Lepisosteus oculatus: one gene and its partners. The protein of the gene in region 1 interacts with the protein of each later gene in a pairwise test. Links are inferred from orthologs where the notes say so. Each region holds a gene or a part of one and is shown in the gene's direction. Other genes may lie near its edges.

What was found.
Region 2: the proteins of efhc1 (region 1) and kctd4 interact in binary tests that used the Homo sapiens proteins (3 or more experiments, as listed by UniProt). The two-hybrid records come from large-scale screens. The link is inferred for Lepisosteus oculatus from reciprocal best matches to the Homo sapiens genes EFHC1 and KCTD4.
Region 3: the proteins of efhc1 (region 1) and E3 SUMO-protein ligase ZBED1 interact in binary tests that used the Homo sapiens proteins (3 or more experiments, as listed by UniProt). The two-hybrid records come from large-scale screens. The link is inferred for Lepisosteus oculatus from reciprocal best matches to the Homo sapiens genes EFHC1 and ZBED1.

Annotation. Positions count from the first base shown.
Region 1 is NC_090697.1:20,736,306-20,743,198, forward strand, and holds the start of efhc1 (EF-hand domain-containing protein 1), read left to right. Parts: upstream 1-3,875; 5' UTR 3,876-3,996; coding exon 3,997-4,059; intron 4,060-6,292; coding exon 6,293-6,514; intron 6,515-6,893. UniProt on the Homo sapiens protein: Microtubule inner protein (MIP) part of the dynein-decorated doublet microtubules (DMTs) in cilia axoneme, which is required for motile cilia beating.
Region 2 is NC_090710.1:16,187,174-16,194,027, forward strand, and holds kctd4 (BTB/POZ domain-containing protein KCTD4), read left to right. Parts: upstream 1-4,011; 5' UTR 4,012-4,218; coding exon 4,219-4,995; 3' UTR 4,996-6,351; downstream 6,352-6,854.
Region 3 is NC_090708.1:23,796,430-23,804,351, forward strand, and holds the start of E3 SUMO-protein ligase ZBED1, read left to right. Parts: upstream 1-5,009; intron 5,010-6,306; 5' UTR 6,307-6,339; intron 6,340-6,357; exon of another isoform or gene 6,358-6,595; intron 6,596-7,922.

The DNA of each region.
Region 1 (6,893 bases):
CTCCATATAAAGTCTAGGTAAAAACCATTTAGGAGAACAATCTATTATTAGATATCTATAAATTCATCATAAAATCAGTCACAGAGGACAGAGTCATTACCTGATTTACATTGGCCTAGCAATGTAGAACAAAAACTTGACAAGTAAAAAAGTTAGGTTGTAATTCTAGCAATAGAATTTTTGTAATTCTAGCAATAGAATCTCTTTGGGAGAAGTGACACATTTAAGTAATGATTTGTCACTCTGGACAAAAACCACAGTATGTACTGTATTAGTATACCTCTACAGTGCCAATGCGTTGCTGTGTGTCATTTAAACCAATGAGACTTGACCTGTTTTATCTGTATGGTGTTTTGGGGATCTGTTTCTGGAATGAGTCTTGTAAAGATGTCTGTGTCAAAGACATTGCAGCAGCGAAATCGTCTTTTTCTCGTGCCAACTTGTTGTGCAGTGTTAGCATATCTAGTTGGATGCTTAATTTTAAGGTGCTTAAACAAATTACCAGTATTTCTATTTTTATGCACTTTGCATTTACAAAAATTGCAACTGGTTTTAATTTCTTGTTAAAAAATAATTGTAAATGTTTTTTTACAGTAATGTTGCGCACTGTACTAGCGTACCTTCACTTGGTTGGCCAAGGTATTCCTTTTGATCCTGATTTCTGAATTTCAATAAATGCTGTTCTACTTTTCAGTCAACATAAAACATGAACTTTGGTATGAGCAGTTTTACACAGTTTCCTTCATACTTAAAAATGGTCATTCATTTTGTCAGAATGTGCTAAAAATAAGTCAAAGTTGATATTTTGGTGAAAATATACCAATAACAGAAAATAAATGATACCAAAAGTATCAGATACTTAAGTATTTGTTCACCCACCCCTAGTTTTTAAATGCCACTATATTTTTTGTACTGTATGCCTGATATTGCTAATGTTTTAAAACATTATCACTGTAGAATCAGTCTAATGTTCTTTTTGTATGCTGTCTTGTATACAATTTAAGTGTTTGTGGTGTCTCTGCAAGTTTACTATTAAATTACTTTATAGTCCTAAATTTTGTCTTTTTTTTCCTGTCACCCAACACTGATTAAATATTTAGATGATATTGCAGTAAAGGATAGTCCCCAGGTCAGCTGTGAAAAATGTAAAAAAAATAAAATTAGATGTAACCTCTTGATTCCTAGCTATGTTTGATAATTTGAAATGGCTTAAATACCAATGTTTGCATTTTTTTTTGTAGCACATTATAAATTATGTTGTAATTTCTACATTAAAAAAAAACAATTTTTAATGTACAGTATTTCCATGTATTTTAAATATTAAATAAGTATATTTAATAAGTAAAAGCCTGCAATGTGGAGTCGTGGTTAGAGCTCAGAAGTATGGACTGGAAAGGCACCAGCCAAAATAATGTTGATGATGATGAAGAAAAGCTTCAGCAAAGTATTGTATAAAAAATCTTACCATTTCCAATAACGCACAGGTTTTAAAATTTGCAAGGAGGAAGTAAGAGAGTTTTTATTAATCTTCCATATCCACATGCTTCTGCCACCATTTTACAAGAGAATGGATGCCCTCATAACAAAAGGATGTTAGCTGCGCCCGAGTCTTTCTTGCACCATTACTTGGATCTGGTTGTCTTCCCTGACGCTCTGATCTCGGAGAACCTCCTTCTGTGGTCTGAATGGAAAATTAGTTGGTGCAAGAGCTCGACGGTAAGGTAGGATAAGCATTCATATATGAACTTCTCTATGTACTGTATGTCTCACCATGTCTGGGGGTGTGCTGTTCGGTGTTGAGGAAAAGGGTACTTTTAAAAAGTAATACATTTCAATTAAAAGTTACTTGTGTAAGGGAATAGATAGTAGTAAAGAATGATCTCTTTAGAATGAGTATAGCCACTATGTAAAGGAATACATTACTTTCTAAAAGCAACTTCCCTCTTTAAAAAGGTAAAACATTACATATTTTAGTATTCTGCCCCTCGGGATGGACTACCAGCACTAATTCCTTAAACGTTCTGTCACACATGTTCACTTTTTCCTACTTCTCTCACTATATAAAGGGATCTCACTAGTGCACCACACCTGTTAATAATTAAAAGAGAAGCAACTTGAGTTTGCACCCCTGAGATGTCCTGCCTGTTCCTTCTCCACTCAATTACACACTTTAAGGGAAAAGAGGATGACTGCTGTGTTGTAAGTGGGATTCCCATCACCTCAGTCCCAAAAGGCAAACATGGATGTCAGGAAGAATACAGACAAACTATTTGGCAGATTCGTGGATGAATTAGGATAAGGGTGCCTACTTTCAGGATTGCTTTCCTCTCGCAGGTGTATGGCTCTGATTCACACTAGAGCTGAACCAGGACAGCCAGCTTCCCTGTTTGACAGGAGTCTTAGGTGGGACCATGATAGTGGAGCTTGCTTTAGACTTCCAAATTAAAGACAACCTAAGTCATTGGACACATAGATCCCAAAAGAACTGCTGTTCTCAATGCACACAGGACCTATCAGAGGGGCTGGAATGTTTAGCTTGAAGCCAGGGACCTTGACTGAGGGACACAACCACACAAGGTCAGAGGAGGAGAAGGCTATACTACTGCCAATAAGTTTTGAAGGGAAAGCTCAAGGGGTTCTGTTAGATCTCTAGTTCCTACCTATTACATTGCAGTGGTTAATATTTAGATTTATTTATGAAAAAGTAGCTAAACTTAATTTGGGGACCACTTTCTCAGAATGCTACATTTATATCATGGTCTCATAAACCAAAGGTGTTCATAGCAAATTACATTATGACTTTTCTCTTAAGTTTAAGTTCAAGTTCATTGTCATTATACTCATAAACAGGTATATGGTATAATGAAATGCTATTTAGCTAGCTCTCATAGGATAAGTTGTACAAAAAAACAACAATACAATTGTATAAGAAAAAGACAGAAACAACAGGCGGTGTGCAAAACAACAACAGGTAAAAGGTAATGTGCAAAACAACATCGGATTTGCAAAATCATACATCAACAGAATAAAATAAAGAATAGAAAATGATGGGGAGTGAGCTTCTTGACATGTGAGGTAGAGGTAGATTTCAATGTGTGTTTGAGTTTTTGGTAAGAAGGCACTGTGAGGTTCAGATCGTAAGTGATAGAGGCTGGGAGTTCGATAGTTTGATAGTGTGGGGGTAAAAACCGGACCACTGTCTCTGAGTCTGGTGGTCCGGGCCCGAATGCTCTGGTACCATTATCCAGATGGTAGAGGGTCATACAGTCTGTAGCTGGGGTGTGTGGGGTCTTTGATGATGCTTAGAGGTTTCCTCAAGCACCGTCTGTCATAATTGTCCTGTATGGATGGGAGGGCAACCCCAGTGATGGACTGGGCAGTTTTCACCACCCGCTGTAGGGCTTTGCGGTCAGCAATACTGCAGTTGCCATACCACACTGTGATGCAACATGTCAGTGTGCTTTCTGTAGTGCATCTGTAAAAGTTAGTGAGGATCTGGGGACATATCTTAGCCTTCTTCAACCGTCTTCAGAAGTACAGGCGCTGTTGCGCTTTTTTGATCAGACAGGTGGCGTTGAGAGACCACGTGGGGTCCTCGGTGATATGGACGCCAAGGAATTTGAAGTTACTGACCCTTTCCACTTCAGTCCTTAACACCTCTGTAATCCATTCCAATGCACACATCTCACAGTAGCGAGTTTATTAGTATAAAAAAATCATTTATATGATGATGCATCCGCTTTTTTCCCTTACAACAGACGTTTTATGGGGTTATTTGAAAGGTTTTTGGCGTTGCTTGCCTTAGTCAGTCACAGTTTTGTTTAGCGTCTCCATGGCAGCCGCGTTAATTCCGTGGTTGCCAGGTTACCATTTTAAGTATGGGAAGCAAACCCAGTGCGCTCAGATGTGCTCGGAGAAACTATAAAGCTCAGTACCACTGGTGGAGCTTGGAAACGGAGTCCAAACTCTTCACTTGCAGCTAGGAAGTGAAACGCGATGGCTTTAAACCCAGCGCAAGGACTACCCTTTTTACCTGGAAACACGTTTCGGGATCCCACGGTAAAGTTGCTGTCATTATCATTGAATAATTCAACATAACATCATACTCTGAATTGAAGTAACCTTTATTGTCCCGAAGGGAATTTGTCTTGCTCAACAAGAGTTCATAACATATAGCATGTATGACAGGAAGACAATATAGCAACAGTACAATACCATGATAAAAAACGTCACTCTGCTGTAAAGATTGAACAGTTTACCAAAAACCCGAAAGAAGAAACTTGTGTTTTTCACTTTAGAAATACTCGTCCCCCATATCCATCACACGCCCTGTTACGGAATGAGTTCGGTTTATTGGTGATCAGGTTTTAATATAGATAAGTAGAACTGTGAGTTTGTGTCGTGACTTGGGCAAAAAACTGTGAAGTATTTTTGCTTGACTACGTTATGAACGTATTTTAATTAAATTTAAGACAAATTATCCTTTGTATATACAAACAACGCGAAATGTGGTGTTTATAACTTAAAACAAAGTGTAAAATACTATAAAATGTACAACAGCAGCACTATATAATGATATTGTATTCAATAATATTGTTAGTGTATGTAATAATGTTAATATTAACTGAACCTATCAATAATTAATGTAATATAGTCGGCTCAACGGTTTTTGCAAAATATGTTTATATACAGTATGTGTACATTTTGTTTATATTTATTTGTATATTGCATTTTAAGAAGTCTTCTCGAAAATAGAAAGTCACACTTTTGTTAGATCACATTTTTTCAGGAAATGTGCCTTTCGCTAATTATCTTCTCCTTGTTTTAATAATACATTAAAAACACTTGTTTTGATGTTATGTGTTTAACTTGATATAATAGGTTGCTAAGTACTCATTAACATAAACGCATCATTGGCATTGTCATAGACAATGACAAACTACTTGTAAGTCCAGAACATTCAGTGAACAGCAGGTATAGTTTTCTTGGATTTAAATTACATTTTTTGCTGGATGCCCAAGAACTCTGCTTTTTTATCCTCTTGATGAGGATGTAGAAGAATACAAATCTACATAAACACCCAGACCCCTCATACCAACCAATATTCCTGCAGCTCAGAATCACTCTGTATCCTGTATTGAGTATTCCTGCATTCTGCGTGGATCGCTTTGCACTTGCCGGCATTAAATTTCATTTGTGAAGTGTCCTGCCAGTCCATGATCTTGTCTTTTTGTTAGCCCCTTTCTACTGTTTCTGTTTGCCACTGTTCTCAGGAGAGCTTCTAAAATATCATGGAGTATGCCAACATGTACAAAAGAGTAAGCACATATTAAGTCTTTTGAAAACAAACCTTGATTTGTGTATTTGTTAAAAATGTATTGTTTGCAAAGCAGGTACAGTACCAAAGTTTAGAATGATACATTAAACAGAAGACTACAGCAAAATGATATTTAACCTACTCAGTCCCATCGCAACACATAAACTGTACTAAACCCTCAGGGACTAGAAAGCTGCATATGACAGAGAGAAACCTCAATTCCAGAACTGACGGGCCTCAGACATCACAGACTGTGATGCTCCACAGCAGCTGTAGTCTCATCTGACTGATGGTTGCTTTTGTTTGTCATTCAGTGATCTTCATTCCTGTCAAATGTTAAAGATGAATCAAAAGGAGGCTGTGGGTTTTAGCAAACCCACCAACGTAAAAGCTCTCACTCTTGCTAGAAGCAAATAGCAAGAAAACATTTCAACAACTAGTTGATGACACACATTGAACTACATTTTTTTCACAGTTGAACATTGTAAGTAAAAGCCAATAAATAGCACAATGAAGAGCACAACTTATTCTCTGACTAGTATTTGATGGCAGGTTACTATTGAGCAGAAAAAAAACTGCATTGAAGGACTGTATTTATTTTCTATTTGTTGGCAGATACGGGAGGTTGAAGTTTTGTTTCAATACCTCCAGGATTGGTAGAGTGATAAAGACAAGACAAAGAACTCTTAAAAAGACATTTAGTCTGCTTAGGACAAAGATGAATATTTTATTACCGTCAATGGCCAAAGAGCACATTGAACCAAGTTTGGATTTCTTAGTCTTAAAGACTTTTCAGAATGACACTTGCAGAACCCCTGAGTGTTCAACCAAAACATAAGCTCATTCATTCTCCCCTTGCATTGAAAGGAGTTCTTGGAATGAGGTGACACGAAAAGAAACAGTTGTCAACTTCAAAACTCAAAAGAACTATTGAAAAATACATCTTTATAACTCTGTTGTGCTTCTTTCTTCTAGAAGTCATCATTCCACCGGTCGCAGACGCTGGACTATAAGAATGGCTATGCTTTGCCACGGCGCCCAAGGGTGGGCATTGGACAGGATCCCCTTCTTTCCAATCAGATCTCCCAATCTGAGCTCAACCAGCTGGCCACCTTGTATCCTACTCTGATCTATGGACAGTCTCGCCCCTCGCCCCCTGTGGACTTTATCCCTGCACATGTCGCCTTTGATAAGAAGGTATGGTTCATTTACATCACATCAAACTGCACACATTAGAAGAACAGTCTAGAATGTGAACTTCCCCATTACCCCCAAAAGGCTGTTCAAGGTATTTGATCCACATCATTTTAAGTGATCTGGTCTTCAGACTATCCTAGTGTGATAAGTGCAACATCACAATCATCCACACTTGTGTAAAAGAATGTTTCTTTTTCGTTAAATGGAGTTTTTAATGAAAGTTCGGGAGGAATGAAGGCAGCCGCGCTCATTCGACACAGCTGCTGCAATTCTCACTAATCCTGACATAAGCAACCGGTCTCCATAAATATCAAACGTCACCCTCTCCTCTTCCTCGTTCGTTTTCTGCATCCCTCCTCCACCCCCTCTCCACCTTTGC
Region 2 (6,854 bases), on another chromosome or scaffold:
CAATGGTGTCAGATTCTCATTTTCTATACCTCAGTCATTTATGTCATTCATCTCACACCTAAACATTTATACAAAATACCATTATATAAATATCTATTTCAATCTATATATAGTGTTTAGGTAGCACTAAACAGAATTTAAGCCTATAATGTGCCATTTTTGTGAAGCTGGTACATTAGCAATGCATGATAGCTGGCAAATGTTATTAAGCAGTATTTCCCTTTAATATCAGAGCAGCCATATTACAAATGTTACAAGTTCTGCATTCAGAACCATTCAGGCTCTGGCGAATTGAGGCAAGGGCTCTGGAGAATAAGACATTAGCAAAGAATAGCCTTCAGAAACTCAACAATATTGTTATTGGAATATATTATTAATAAATGATGGGTTTTTGGAATATTGCTTTTATAAGTAATATCTGTCAAACTGTAATTTCACCTTTCTTGAATATTTCAAGATTAATTCACACTACAAAATATAGGAAACAAGCGTATAAGTATATGGACATTCGTGCTCTGAATTTTAAAAAGCTTCAATGTGAAGACAATATACAGGTTTATTCAAAATATATCACAGGTTCAAAGAAATCCATAAAGAAAATCTTGCTCCTTGCCTACTCTCAAGAACAACAGTAACTGTTTTTTTCACCCATATGGCTTCTGCTGTAAAATCTGGCTTCTCATTTTATTGTTCAAGTAGAATGTTCATATCAGCTCACAAATAAACTTGCATTACAATACACTGCTTTAAATCTTTATTCTAATCAGACAGCTTTTGCCGATACTGTGACACTGCAATTAGGGTCAATTCTCTGGTAAAATTCTGGGAGCAATACAGCTAGTACAAAGGATGTTTTTGAGCCCTGCAATATTAAAATGATCACACATAATGGAAATGCCCAGTTTCCCACAACACTTACTACAATTGTGGAGAATTGTGGCGTTTTGGGCTTGCAGTGAGGCACAACAACAATCCCACAAACCACGCTATGTGCTTTTTTGTGTTGTAAGTCTCACATTATTGCTGTATGAGACTGCTTGTCTCGTAAAGATCACAATCTTATACTACCTCATCACATTCTCATGAAATGCCGTAGGACCTTTACAAATCAAAGAGTTCCTTTCCGGCCTTGCTCTCCTAGTTTCTAATGAGGTTTTTTCTACCTTATAATGCCTCGGAAGGATAAAAAGGCAGCCACACACACACACACTATGGACGAAAAGAGAAAAACACGACTATCTTCTAATTAAACAGCAGAGATCACTTTCCTGTTTTCTCCTGACCAGCTGGAAAGTCAGGTGCCTTATTTTACAGGTAAGTCAAGTAGTAATATGCATGACAACAAACGCCTATTAATACTACTGTTACTGTTACAGGTACTGCTAACAATACAATTAAATTAATATTTATGTTAGCAGGCACAGACAGCAGCAGACTGCCTGACAACTAAAAGCATCCGTCAGACGTTGCAGGTGGCTGCTGAAAACCCATGCAAGTGAAAAATACGACACTACCCGATATAAATCTTAAAGATATAAATATCTCATATCTATATCCATTCATAAGTTGTAGCATAACTCCAGAAATTTTGGTTCTCAACTTGTAATCTTTGACCTTTTTTCTATTACAGATTAAATTATTGTTTGTCAGCATTTATCAAAAACGTCCCAGACCACTAATTGTAAATAAAGCCACACAGAACACAAGGGAGTGTTAAATACATGATTATATTGTCAACAGCCAGATTAAATATTTGCTTGCTACATGGATTACATTGTTAATTTAAACATGTATAGAAAAAAACAACTGGTTGCAGGACAGAACCTTGAGGTACTCCTTTTATGATTAAGAATAAAGGAGTATGAAATCAAATTTTTATACACTGCAGTGGAAATAGAGGAAATCCTGAAACCAAGACATAGGTCATTAAAATGAACAAGAAAAGCTGAATAACCAAAGGCAACAAAAGTCTGTGATCAGACTAATCTTCTTTAATAAGGTCTGTCCCTCATGGTTTTCTTTTTTCAAATATATCCATCAAACAGTTGATACTTAAAAAGGCAGAATTTTACAAACTGTCAAATGATTTTCTCAACTAGGTATCGTTTAATTAACTAGAATTAACTAAAATAAAAAAACAGAAGAGAATTAGGTCCTGAGGACCAGCAGTAAGAACATCTACAATAAATAAATCTACAAACCTAGAAAAATAGGTCTGATTTTCTCATGGGTGTTTAAAATGTGACAGCAGCTGTAAGAGCACCGTGCCCATTTCCAAAACCAGACTGCGTAGCACAAACATTATCATTGCCGTCTGAGAAATAGTTTAACTGCTTAACAATTAGGCTGTGCATTAGCTTTCACAGGTATGGCAGAGCTGTCATGGACCTAAAACAGATTAGATAAGACCTGTTACCATCTTAAAAAAAAGACAAAGGTATTTAAAAGCAGAAAATAACACAGACGACAATATCTGCAGGAAACGGTTAAATTCGACCGCATCTTTACATCGTTTTAGGACCTACTTTAAATAAAATACTTCCGCTTCTGTGAGAGGTAAAAAACCCAGCCTAAAACAACTTGGCGAGGAATAGAATCATCTCAGGTGCAAATAAATCAGAACCAGCACAATGAATAATTAAGATATTAAGTTAAAAAGTAAATAGTTGATCAATTAACTTATTTTTTGTCACCAATGTAATGCATTATCAGCGATTTAAAATTGTCCACTCCTGGTGGGAAAACATTCAGGATCAACTGTACATGTCACATGTCAGTTTTACCTGGCACTCTTTTAGTGCCGAGAAGTCCTGATTAAGCTTGGAGCTATGCTATACTTTTTTTCCATTAAAAGCTATGGAATGTTCCTTAAGAGCATGAAAACAACAATTTTCCTAACAGCATCTTCAATGTCCTAAAGATATTTGATTTCATTACCTCAGGGTTATATCTGCCTCGCCAGCATTATGAAATAAGCCAATAGCATACTGTACCTTTGACTCCCAAGAAGTTTGCAAGAGGAAAAATATGGATTACATTTGAGGTACACATTACCATGTCAAACATCAAATATGCTGTATTTACTACCTATTATTTGTTGCACTTGAGGGGTACAGGAGGAGGGTGGAGCAGAACAGGTAGAGGGATCAGGAATTTCTTTATTATGGCTTGTACGTCTTTCTTAATTAATATTGCTGTTAACATTTTCAACAAAGAGTTAATTCCACATTTTTTGTACAATAAAAGGCTCACTAACTCCCTTTAACCAACATATTATACCTTTCCTCAAAAAGATTTCCATTAAGCCAAAAATGCCATTTTGTCATTTATGCTGACAGGAAAAAGTCTGCATTGTCCACCTCTTTTGTTTTTTGTTCTCAAGATTCATTCAATACTGACTGCTCAGGTTACTGAAAATACATTGACAGGAATACCAGCATGTCTTAACTGCTCTCCGCAAACTGACTTTTTACATAACACATTCCGGGCACAGCTCGGGAAAGCAGAAATTGACACTGAAGAATCGTAGGTAGCGATGCACAGAATCCCAACAAGCAAATAAGACAAACAGCAAGAGGAAGACATTTAAAAATATTCACCACAAAGGCCACCACAAAAAAACTGTATGGATATATTTTTAAATACACAAACCCCCTTTTGCCTTTAACATATCAGAGTCATGTTTACCAAAAAAATGAGTTTGGAAATTAGCTATGGCTCTCTGTTGCACCTATTATTCATTGTGGCCATTTTACACTGACAATTAAGCCCAAGGGCAGCATGACAACTTTAAAAGAAGTGGATCACGCTCATTATGGCTTTAACAGTTTAATTCTCTGTGATTTTTCATCTCCACAAGAGGCATTCGTAGTTCTTACAGGCTGCAACTCACCTTTCATCACTGAGAGAATGTTAATTGCCCGAAACACTGCTGCAGCACACTGGAGTAATGAAGTGATTAAATCATCCTTTTTGAATGGAGGGTTAAAAGCTCTTCTCCCCATCCCCCGCCTCCTCATCAAGCCCACCTCACAGCACAGTCGATACACCTCCTACAGCGTAGCTGTGCTGAAAGCTTAAGAAATGTAAGCAGCATTTGCATATCTCTTTCACAGCCAGCACTGCACAGCTCAGCACAGACAAACGCGCACACAGGTGCTCCAGCTTCACAAAGGGAGACGAGGCACAGCCTGACAAGGGAAAGCACATTGCTCTGGAATGGAATGGAATCTCAGAAGAATGGACAGTGAACTGAAGCACATGAATCCTGATCTGCTTCAACCAAGCAAAAGCTTTAAGAAGCTGTCGTCTTTCACCATTACCCTCAATATAGGGGGCTACCTCTATGTCACCCAAAAGCAGACTTTATCGAAATACCCGGGCTCTTTGCTGGAAGAGATCATCAGTGGAAAAAAGCCAGTTTTGCATGTGGATGCAGTCGGCAACACCTTTATTGACAGAGATGGTCCTCTCTTTCGCCACATCTTGAACTTCCTGCGCATTGGGGAGCTCCTCCTGCCCGAAGACTTTAAAGAGTTCAGCCTGTTGATTCGTGAGGCAGAGTTCTACCGGTTAGGGGAGCTTGCCGAAGCCGTGAAAGACTGCGAGCAGCAGCAGGCGACACTGAGAGAGCCAGCCTTCCTGGAGGTGACGGACAGCCACGAGCGCTCCCAGGGCCTCAAAGTCTTCTGCAGCGATTCGCATTTCATCGACAAGGTCAAGAGCCGCCTGGTGCAGGTCTCCAAAAGCAGGCTGGACGGCTTTCCCGAAGAGTTCATCGTGTCTTCCAACGTGATCCAGTTCCGGCACTTCATCAAGTCGGAGATGGGGTCACGGCTGGTGCTGAAGGAGGACAACACGTTCCTGTGCACCCTGGAGACCCTCAAGCTGGAGACTGTGATGCTGGCCCTACGAGGTGGCTACCGCCTGCTCACCAGCCTCGACAGCTCCCGTGGCTCCGTCGTGCACTGCGAGGCGCTGCACTTCGTCAAGTGACTGCGCGGCGAGGAACGCCAGCCTGCGTCGGCGAGAGCACACAGCCCCTTAGCAGGATCCCTTCTTAACTCGCAGATTCTGCTTCAGATGTTGTTCATCGCTACCAACGAGCTGTCTTCACACCACAGTTCGGGATGACATGGAATTGGTGTGCATTTCTGTCTCTGTTTCATTTCTTTCACATCACCCAAGGCTTTCAGTTGCTGGTATCTTAGTGAATGACGCTGTTTTGTGCTACATCAGGCTGTTCAACGACTTGGATTAACTATCTCCTTGCCAGGCATACACCGTACTTCTTCCAATTATGGCAGAACAGAACGAGTAAATGATTCAAGGATTGTCCTATACTTCTTATCCACCACCTAAATGGCTTGATAATCATTCAATTCTCTGAAACAAGCAATGAGGTTCTTCCCTGAAGAATTAAATCATTTGGACATTTGAATGCTTTACTTAAATAGGTGTGAAATGTATCAGATCTTGTGCTGTGTAAAGAAAAAAAATGACATACTGGAAGTGTTTTGGAAGATGTCTGTAACTGCAATATGAAGTTATATTTGCCATATCAAAATGTTGTTACATATCTGAAGTAATGCAAATGCTGTATTAGATAGAATGAACGATTTTGTTTTTCGTGAAATTATAGATTATTGCATGCAAAAAGCTCATTTATGATTTGTATCTAAAGCTTACTGTTTATGTTGTTTGTTACACTGAACTTCAAAATTGATATTAATCTGTGTAGAGATCAGTTAACTTATAATGAAAAAGTGACAGTCACATCAATTAATTAAAACATCTCCTATTCAAGAAACGCCAGGTAAAATTTTTTAGAAATTGAGGAATGCAGGATGTATTAATACCATGGAGTACCAATACACTGGCTTCTACAAAGTGTTAAAAGCATTTTTGAAGTTGTTCAGGCAGATGCTGGGATGGGTTATTCATCTGGGTTTTCAAATGTAATCAACAGTACAGACACAGGAATGAAACGGATTACATTTTCATCTAATTATCATTTCTGCTCTCATGAGCCTGAAAAAAAATATTTTAACTTTTTTATATGATCATTAGAGCCGGCTGGATCTTTTGAGGGACCAATCAGTTTTTCCAGGTGGTTTTTTTTTTCTTCTTTAGAAGGAATGTGTTTGTAAGGATAAAGAAAAAATGCATTTCTGAGGTTAGTTCTGCATAATTATAGTTACTTGCCAGAAGTGTACCTTACTTTACAATAAAGCTGTACATGGCTCCCTGCAGCTCTAACGAGATCATTACCAAGTTAAACTGGAAAATGAAAATGTTCTTTTGTGTAAGCCTACAATGAAGAATAAATATCTGTCAAAGCAGATCTTAAAATAGACTGTCATTACTGTACTGTCCTCCTACCAAATTCCTACATAGTTTGCATTTTAGACAGCTTTTTACTGTACTTGAAGAAATGATAAAACTGAAATTACCGCAAGTATAAAAGTAATAACTGCTGGCTACTGTACAGTGCTTTAACCATGAAGAAGCCCCAAAGGCTTCACAGATCCTCTTCATCCACCCCTGCGGTGCAGTGCCCACCTGACGTGAGGCGGCTGACGTGCGGTGGCCGTTATGTGCCAGCAGCTCCACGACTTCACCAGAAGAAATGAGGGAGAGCCTGAGGCAGGCCAGGCTGAACGAGTGCACAATTTAGCCATGCACTCCTGCTCTTACAAATACTGCAAAAACATTTTGCTGCAGCGAAGTTTTAATGAGCAAGCAGCCACTACCCCGCAAAGGATGGTGCCTCCTACAGTACGGCGGCCCCCGGTCTCCATACGGGGGCACTGGTTTGAGACAATTCATGTCCAGAGGGAGCAACTACACCAATT
Region 3 (7,922 bases), on another chromosome or scaffold:
TTAATATTTGTTAAAAATTATATATTTTACTTAGTGTTTTAGAATAGATACATATAAGCATTTGACTATTATTTGAACTGAAGGACCTTGAAATCTCTTAAAATATTATTAGTGCTAAAGGTGTACTGTACAGTATGTTACAATTTTGATACTGAAGTGGACACACCGTTTAAATATTACATAAAGTTTTTCCAATGGTCATCCCCAATAGCTTCTAAAACATAATTTAATAATATATATTTTGAGTAGATTTAGAGTTTTCACAGAGATTAAGTTCAGATCCGTGTTATTTAGTTACTCAAAGGACCATATTTTACTGGCTGAATTGTTGATGTTGATGTTTTGTTGATTTAAAAAATATATGGGAAATTATTTCAGATTAGTGATTCATAGAGGGTTTTAATTTGTACAAATATTGTTTATGAAACATGGTCTGCATATAACCACTTCCTTGCTAAAATGTAAAAATATTTTAAAAAACAGTTGATGAAACAAAAGAGAGAATATAATTCAATGATTATAACGTCAAGTATCTGTGATTTTGAACATTATTCTTTCCTTTTTTGTTAAATTCCTCTGTCAGCACTTGCAAATGCTCTGCACTCTGACTTTTAAAGTTTAAGTGATCTTAGTGATGTGAGCTGAAACAGAAAAAATGAAGTAGCATTAAGTGAAATTCAACTCTTCCCCTGTCCAATGATGCAAGCTGAAGAAGATCCATTATCCACTATTACTCAATAAGGATTTGGGTACTCGTCCAACAGGCATATTTACAATACTGTTATGGGCCAGAAAAGGAAACCAGTTTTAACTTTTTCCTTTTCAATTTTACTTGTAACTTACTATCACGTAAACACAATGAAGCTGAAATGTTTTTCTAAGGTGACTGAGCCTCTGTTGCACAGTGAGGTGGATTAGTAAATTAGTAGAATTCACTAAGTGAAGTACAGTACATTCTATGATGTCTTAACTGTACTGTACTGTATTTCTTGTTTTTTTTAAAGAAGAGCTCTAATCCATTGTTTATGTAGATTCGGGATCTTCTTTAGATGATGTTCATTCATTTTCTAACCAACTCCAAGGTTAAAAGGTGACAGTGACAGTTTCCAGGAGCCGTTTAAATGAAATAGTAAAATCATGTCACAAGCAGACAGCTAATTGTTTCATTAAATGTCCTGTACAAAAAGGAACATGATATCAGAATAGCATAACAAAGCAGGAAAAAATGAACTGATAAGTGTCTGTCTGTTTCTGTTGGCTAATTCAACTCTAAGGCTAATTCTAATTTGATTTACAGCTGGTGAATGTGATGTCTCTTCACTGGACACAAAGCCAATAATTATTTGTAAGGAAGGAATGGTGGGAAAATCTGCGTAAAATAAAAAATGTCTTTATTAACAGGCTTTTGATGTTGATATAAAAGTGCCTTTTACATCAAGTGTCTCCTTAGACTGCTTGGCTAACAGAGGTTGACTTGCTTAAAGATTTTTCTTGTGCAGTGTTGATTAGATTATAGCATAAAAACACACCTGTTGCATAATGTTTACCACAAAAAATAACATTAAGAAACTAATTCTGTAATACTAAAAAAGCATCTTGAATGGTCTATTTAAGCAAATTCATATAATATATTCAAGTAAGGGGATTTAACTCAAATCAAATCCAAACATAATTCTTGTATATATCTGTAGTACTGCATACTACATAATTTAGAAGAGACAACATCAGTGTAAACTCTGTTTGAATTCCTGCACCATATTTCTGTGCTAATAGCAATTTCTATTAACAGACAACTTGACCTGCGGATTGAACTCAAAGCATTCGCAAAGAGGAACAGAATTTAACCATTGTATGACATTTTAAAATAAAGCCATAGATAAAAGGCTGATAAACAATGGATTGGAGCTCTTGTTTAGACTTATGGTTAAACCCTGTTGTTATACAATCAGGTGTGTATTTCTTTAAAAATAGTAACCACGCTGTCATCTCTCATGCCAAATGCTTTGGCGCTGTCCTGAGTGATTCAGCTCATCACTACCTGCATTCATTGTCAGCTGTGACAGGTCCCACAGCTGTCACCTTCCTCTGTCAGACACCTGTCTCTTCCCAATGCCAGAACTGAACACAGATCAGTAGCTGTCTAGAGGGATGTTTTTCATCCTATAAGTCTATTGACAGCAGTTTTAACTTCTTCATTACATTTGGCGTAAGTGGAAGACAAGCACTCGCTTCAACTAAACCCCTGTGAAGGATCTTTGTCGGGCTATTTTTTTAGAAAATCATTTAATTGGCGAATGGATGAATGTACTGTATCTTTTTGTAAAGTTTTAATGAGCCAGACCATGTTGATTACTGGGTCTTGCACCAGATGTCTTACCTCTTACACCCTTGGCAGGAATTATAGTCCTCTATTCTCTATCATTACTTTGAATAATAATAATTATTATTCCATCCATCCATTTTCTAATCGCTTCATCCAATTCAGGGTTCCGGGAGAGCTGGACCCTATCCCAGCAAGCAACAGGCACAAAGCAGGATTCACCTTGGATAGGACACCACTCCATCTAATACAACAACAACGGCAATAATAATAATAATAATAATAATAATAATAATAATAATAATAATAATAATAATAATAATATAAAATGCAAATCATACCTTCCTTTTCATCTATAGCAAAGGGAAATGTTTATTATTTTAACTAAAAATAGGTTGTGTTGCTTTAGGAACAGATTTATGTTTTGCGCAAATCAAACTAAGCACAAAAACTGCATGGAATCCCTGTAGTTCTGACGTAATATTATTTAAGTCCCAAAGAGACAACTGGACTGATCCAGAATCTGCAGTGGACTTCACCATTACAGAGAATATGTATCCATAGCCAATTTTGAAGGTATTCAGTATATAAAATTTGGAATTTTATGGTGTTCTTGTAACATCTCGATGTTTTCTGGATAGAGTATTTTTTAAAGCAAAGCAATTCATTTAACACTACACATACATACACAAATCATAAGCCAGCTGCTATATCACCATGCGATGTTAATATTTTGATTTTTCTTTTTGCATCATGCAAACTGACCATAAAAAAATGTTCACATTTTTCACACCGCAGAAAGTGTTCATTATCTTTAAAGAAGCAATTGCTCAGAAATCACAATTTCACTTTAGTCTACCTGCACTGTAACAATGTGAATTCAGTTAATACAAGGTGTCAATGTCACAAATTAAATTTCAAAAGTGACAGGATCTCCCTATGCAGAAGACCAGTGGCCACACAAAACCCAAACACTGCCTACGTGATTAATGCCTGTAGGGTTTTATTCTTCTGGAATGCAGACTAACTGTTGTGTTGTACTGTTTTCTGTAACACATTTCTGATATAATCATCTCTTTTAAATGGAGCTTAAATCAAAGGTGTGTTTTCTTTTAAGAAAGTCTGTTGGATTCAGTAATAAACATTTAAATTAATCTTAATAATAAGATATAGCCAGCAGCCATATCACCTTACAACTCAAACTGGTAGCCCACTGAAGCTCAGCAGGTGTGAGCCTGTCTAGTATGTGGCTGGGAGACCTGGTGGGAAAGCTGAGGTTGCTGTTGGAAGAGATGCTAGTGGGATTTTTAATGACCACAGAGAGTCAGGACCTCAGTTTTACATCTCATCCAAAGGACAGCACCTTTTTGCACTATACTGTCCCTATAACTATACTGGGGCATTAGGGGCCACACAGCCTGTAGGGTGAGCACCCCCTAATAACTCCACTAATACCTGTTCCAGCAGCAACCTTAGCTTTCCCAGGTGGTCTCCCATCCAGGTACTGATCAGGCTCACACCTGCTTAGTTTCAGTGGGTTGCTTTGATCACTGAATCTGAGACCCTTCCATCTCGGTAAACACCACCTTGCTTTGGAGCTGGAAATGTTGGCACAGCCAGGTGTTACCAATTGTACGTAGATTCACTTCATGAAATATTTTTAGTGTTAATACAAATTTATTCAAATTGATTACAGGTAAGTTATTACAATTAGCAGTAACTAGAAATTTTAATTATCAGCTATACATAAATACTGAAGTCTTACTTCCATTAACCATATCAGTTATTGGGTGGAGCAGGGGCACTGTGGCTGGAAGGTTGCCAGTTCAAATCCTGCAGCTGGCAGAGGAATCCTACTCTGTTGGGCTCCTGTGCAACACCCTTAACCCCAACTGCTCCAGGGTTGCTGTACAATGGCTGACCCTGTGCTCTGACCCTAAGCTTCTCTCCCTGTCTGTGTCTCATGGAGAACAAAATGGGGTATGTGAAAAGATGAATTCCTGATGCAAGCAATTGTATATGGCTAATAAAGTGATATTATCTTATTGTGAAAAAATAGCTAGAGAAGTAACTATAAGATATCAGTTTTCTAGGTAATCTGGGTTTGAAAAATATGCATTTAGCTTGATAGATTCCTTTGAACAGGCAGCAGCAGTAACAGATACCAGCAGAGCATATAATAAGGTACACTACTCAGTATTTAGATTTTAAAATATTTCCACATGACTGGTAAACTATAGTAAAAATGATTAATTATATTTTAGTTTGTTGAAGTTATTTGTATTTAAGCCTAAAATTCTGGACGATTTTGTTTTTCTTAAATAAAATATAAATGATAAATAATGAATATACCCGTGGTTAAGTGATTATGAGCGGTCTTCGGGTGGGCGCATGAGATTGTTGCAAGCTACATACTAATTTTAGCACGGCTTGGTCATTGTGCTGTATGCAGATCCGACGGCGGAACTGTGGTGTGAGAAGCACAAGTTTCCGCGGGGTGGGGTGTCAGCGCTGCTGCCGAAGGCGGACTCCGGACAGAAAAGGACGGGGCACGCAGTAACAGGCGGCTGGAGAGCGATCAATGCAGACATGTCGCTGTGTTCGGTGGTTCTCTCAGTGTTGAAGGTGTATTATATCGGCTTTAAGGTTCTCCTGTACCAGCTCTTCAACAAATCGTTCACTCTGCCAGGTTAGAACCGACTCTTTGCTCTGAAACAGACATAACACTTGACCAGTTTTCCTTATTGTGGATCGTTGTGACAACTGCTTACAATTTTCCAAACAGGCCAAAGTCCATGCGTAATACATATCTTTTAGTATCGTACTCAGAGTCATAGTTAGTGTGTACAGTAGCTGTGTATAATTGTTTTCTAATTATGAAGAGGTTATTTGAATTTGATCAAATCGTCACAAGCACAGTATGTGTAAAAGCGTGTCTGAAATGATATCACTGGCACATTTTTCTTATGTACTGTATAGTCACTCTCAAAGATAGATCGCTGGCAGTTATATTTAATCGTTACAGTATCTTAAAGCGGAGGGCTGTACCGTATTTGTACCAGCTTCTCGTAGCAGTTTCTTGATCTTGTTCCTTGTAGTGGATTTCTGTCTCTCCTTAGCAGAGGGGGAACTGCTCTCGATCATATGATTCCCATTTCGTTTAAACGGATTTCGCTCATTTTCATCTTGTACCATCTTTTGGGTATTTTGAAGCTATCAAGCAGCGATTATACAATAAGAACTTTTAAATTATATGTGAAACCAATAATAGATATTTTTCTGAATAATGTAATGTAAAATATACAATTGGTTTTCACAGCTTCAAAAACTTGTCAGTATTTCTTAAGTTCAGTATTTCATTTCTAAATTTACTTTCAACCACCCGTAGTTGTAACTATTGTATACCAAGTGATCAGCTTCCACTAAGTGCTTTGTGACTATGACCCTGTGCAGTATATATTTGGCTTAAGTCCTGTTTGATGAGGTACAGATTAAATACAGTGGTGCCATTCTTCACGTGATCTCCAGTGTGAAACTATAGGTCATAAAGGTCTGAAATGTAGAAGTGGACAATTGTTATAACTTAAGCAGCAGCAAGATTATTGTTACAGTATGCTTAACTTTAAAATCAGTTGTCCTAATATACAGTATACACACCTATTCTGGAACAGTGTTTTATTTAAAGAAACAAGTATTTAAATTGTAATAAGGAAAGCAGCTACTTGTACATCTTTTATTGTGTGGTTTCAGGATAACCATCCTAGCAGCACTGTGAGGGCAGACCAGTGCTGCCGCAAGTGGTGATAGTGGACCAGTAGGTGGCAGTATTCCCTGTGGACAAGAATTCCCCCCACCCCAAAACAAAAGCTTTAGGAGGTGTCACTGCTTGGACATGATGTTAACCTGAAGTCATTAAAGATCCCGTGGCACTTTTGAAAAGAATCAAAGTTTCAGTCCTGACTGAATTTCATGTTGTCCTTTTGCAGGCTGACCTCCTTCAATTTCAACCTTAATAAAAGGTGCGGTTTTGCATTTCTGCTAGCGATCCTCCATGCACTGGGGCTGCTTGCTGCATAAAGGCTGCCTTGTGTCAACCCAATGGTGGCTATGCTTCTGTGGTGACTGTGACAGACATCCAGCATCATATACCATAAGGTTGTCGGCCTACATACAGTAATAAAGCTGAGCCTATAGGACTAACATCAGACTGAGCAATCTGGCCCCAGCCTCTGCACCTGTCTGCGAAGTGGAGAAAATAATCAGCAGCTTTGTCAGGTGACTACTGTGGTGCTGTTTGTTTTATTCTTTTAACTGATCAGAATCTCCAGAGTGCTTCTTTGTTTCCACGGAACGAGTCGTACTGTAGGTTACAGGTACAGGAGCAGAAGTGTCTGTAGAGTCACTTCATTTCAGAAGTGAGAGGCCGGGAAGTGTTTTCCTGTCTGCCGCTGGTGCAGCAGAAGGACTGTGGAAGATGCATCCCAAGTGATGCCGAATCTGCTGAAACTGGTTTAACAAAAGATGTGGGTTTGCCTGGCAATTAAAATGCAAGAGAAGGGGCTTCAAAGTTATCTTGCTCTGATTTGCGTGCCATCAAGCAAATTGATGAAAAAAAAGCGGAAGAGGAGGAAACAACGTCAGACTCCTAGGGGATGTCAAGTGGGCAAAGCCGACGTGGCAGCTTTAGCTAGTATCAAATTCAATTATCCAAGCAGAGAAAAAAAAATCTGAATCTGAATAATGAGATAATACCTCACAAGCTATTTTTGTGTGTTTGTTGGTGCTGCATTGCCCAGACTAAAACTTGAACTCGCGTACAGTTTTCACTTTCCGATGCTTAATTATATTTTGTAGAATTAAACTTGGCTAAAGGATCTTGTTTGCAGTTTTTGTACAGAGGATTCATAAGAAAGCTGAAAGCAAGTGTGCTATCAAGAGAGAAGTCTGTATAATGAGTTTCTTCGCTTCTCACAACAAATCATCATTTGAAGTCTAACAGGAGATGCAGTTCACTGGAATGGAGAGAAGCGAGTGCTTAAAAGGATTGTGGCTCAGTCACAACCGGAATGTTGTTTCGTATTTTCATTTAGGACAAAGATGTGGCAAGGCAGGCCAGCACCTTGGTGCGGTATTTTGCATGGCTACCTTGCAGCACTTGGGGCCCTGGGCTCATTCTGAGGATGCTATCGGCATGGAGTTCGTATGTTCTCCCTGTGTTTGTCTGGGTTTTCTCTGGGTGCTCCGGTTTCCTCCCATAGTCCAAAGACATACTGGTAGATGAATTGGCTTCTGGGAAAATTTGCTCTTTTGTGAGTGTGTATGTGTCTGTGTGTGCCTGGCGTCCCAATCAGGGTGTATCATGTTTTTCTTCCGTGGCTTGCTGGATTCAGTTCCAGCTCCCTCTATGACCCGCTACTGGATATAAAGCAGTTTCGAAGATGGATGGATGGAAGATTAATTTAAAACCTTACAGCATGTGAACCAACATCCAACATCAATTTTTGGTTAAACGTTTTAAGTGGGAGTCAGTAACGAAAACATGAGAATCAGCTGATCAGGTGTTTATTCTGCTTGTAAAACGGGTTGGCAACATGCAGATTTA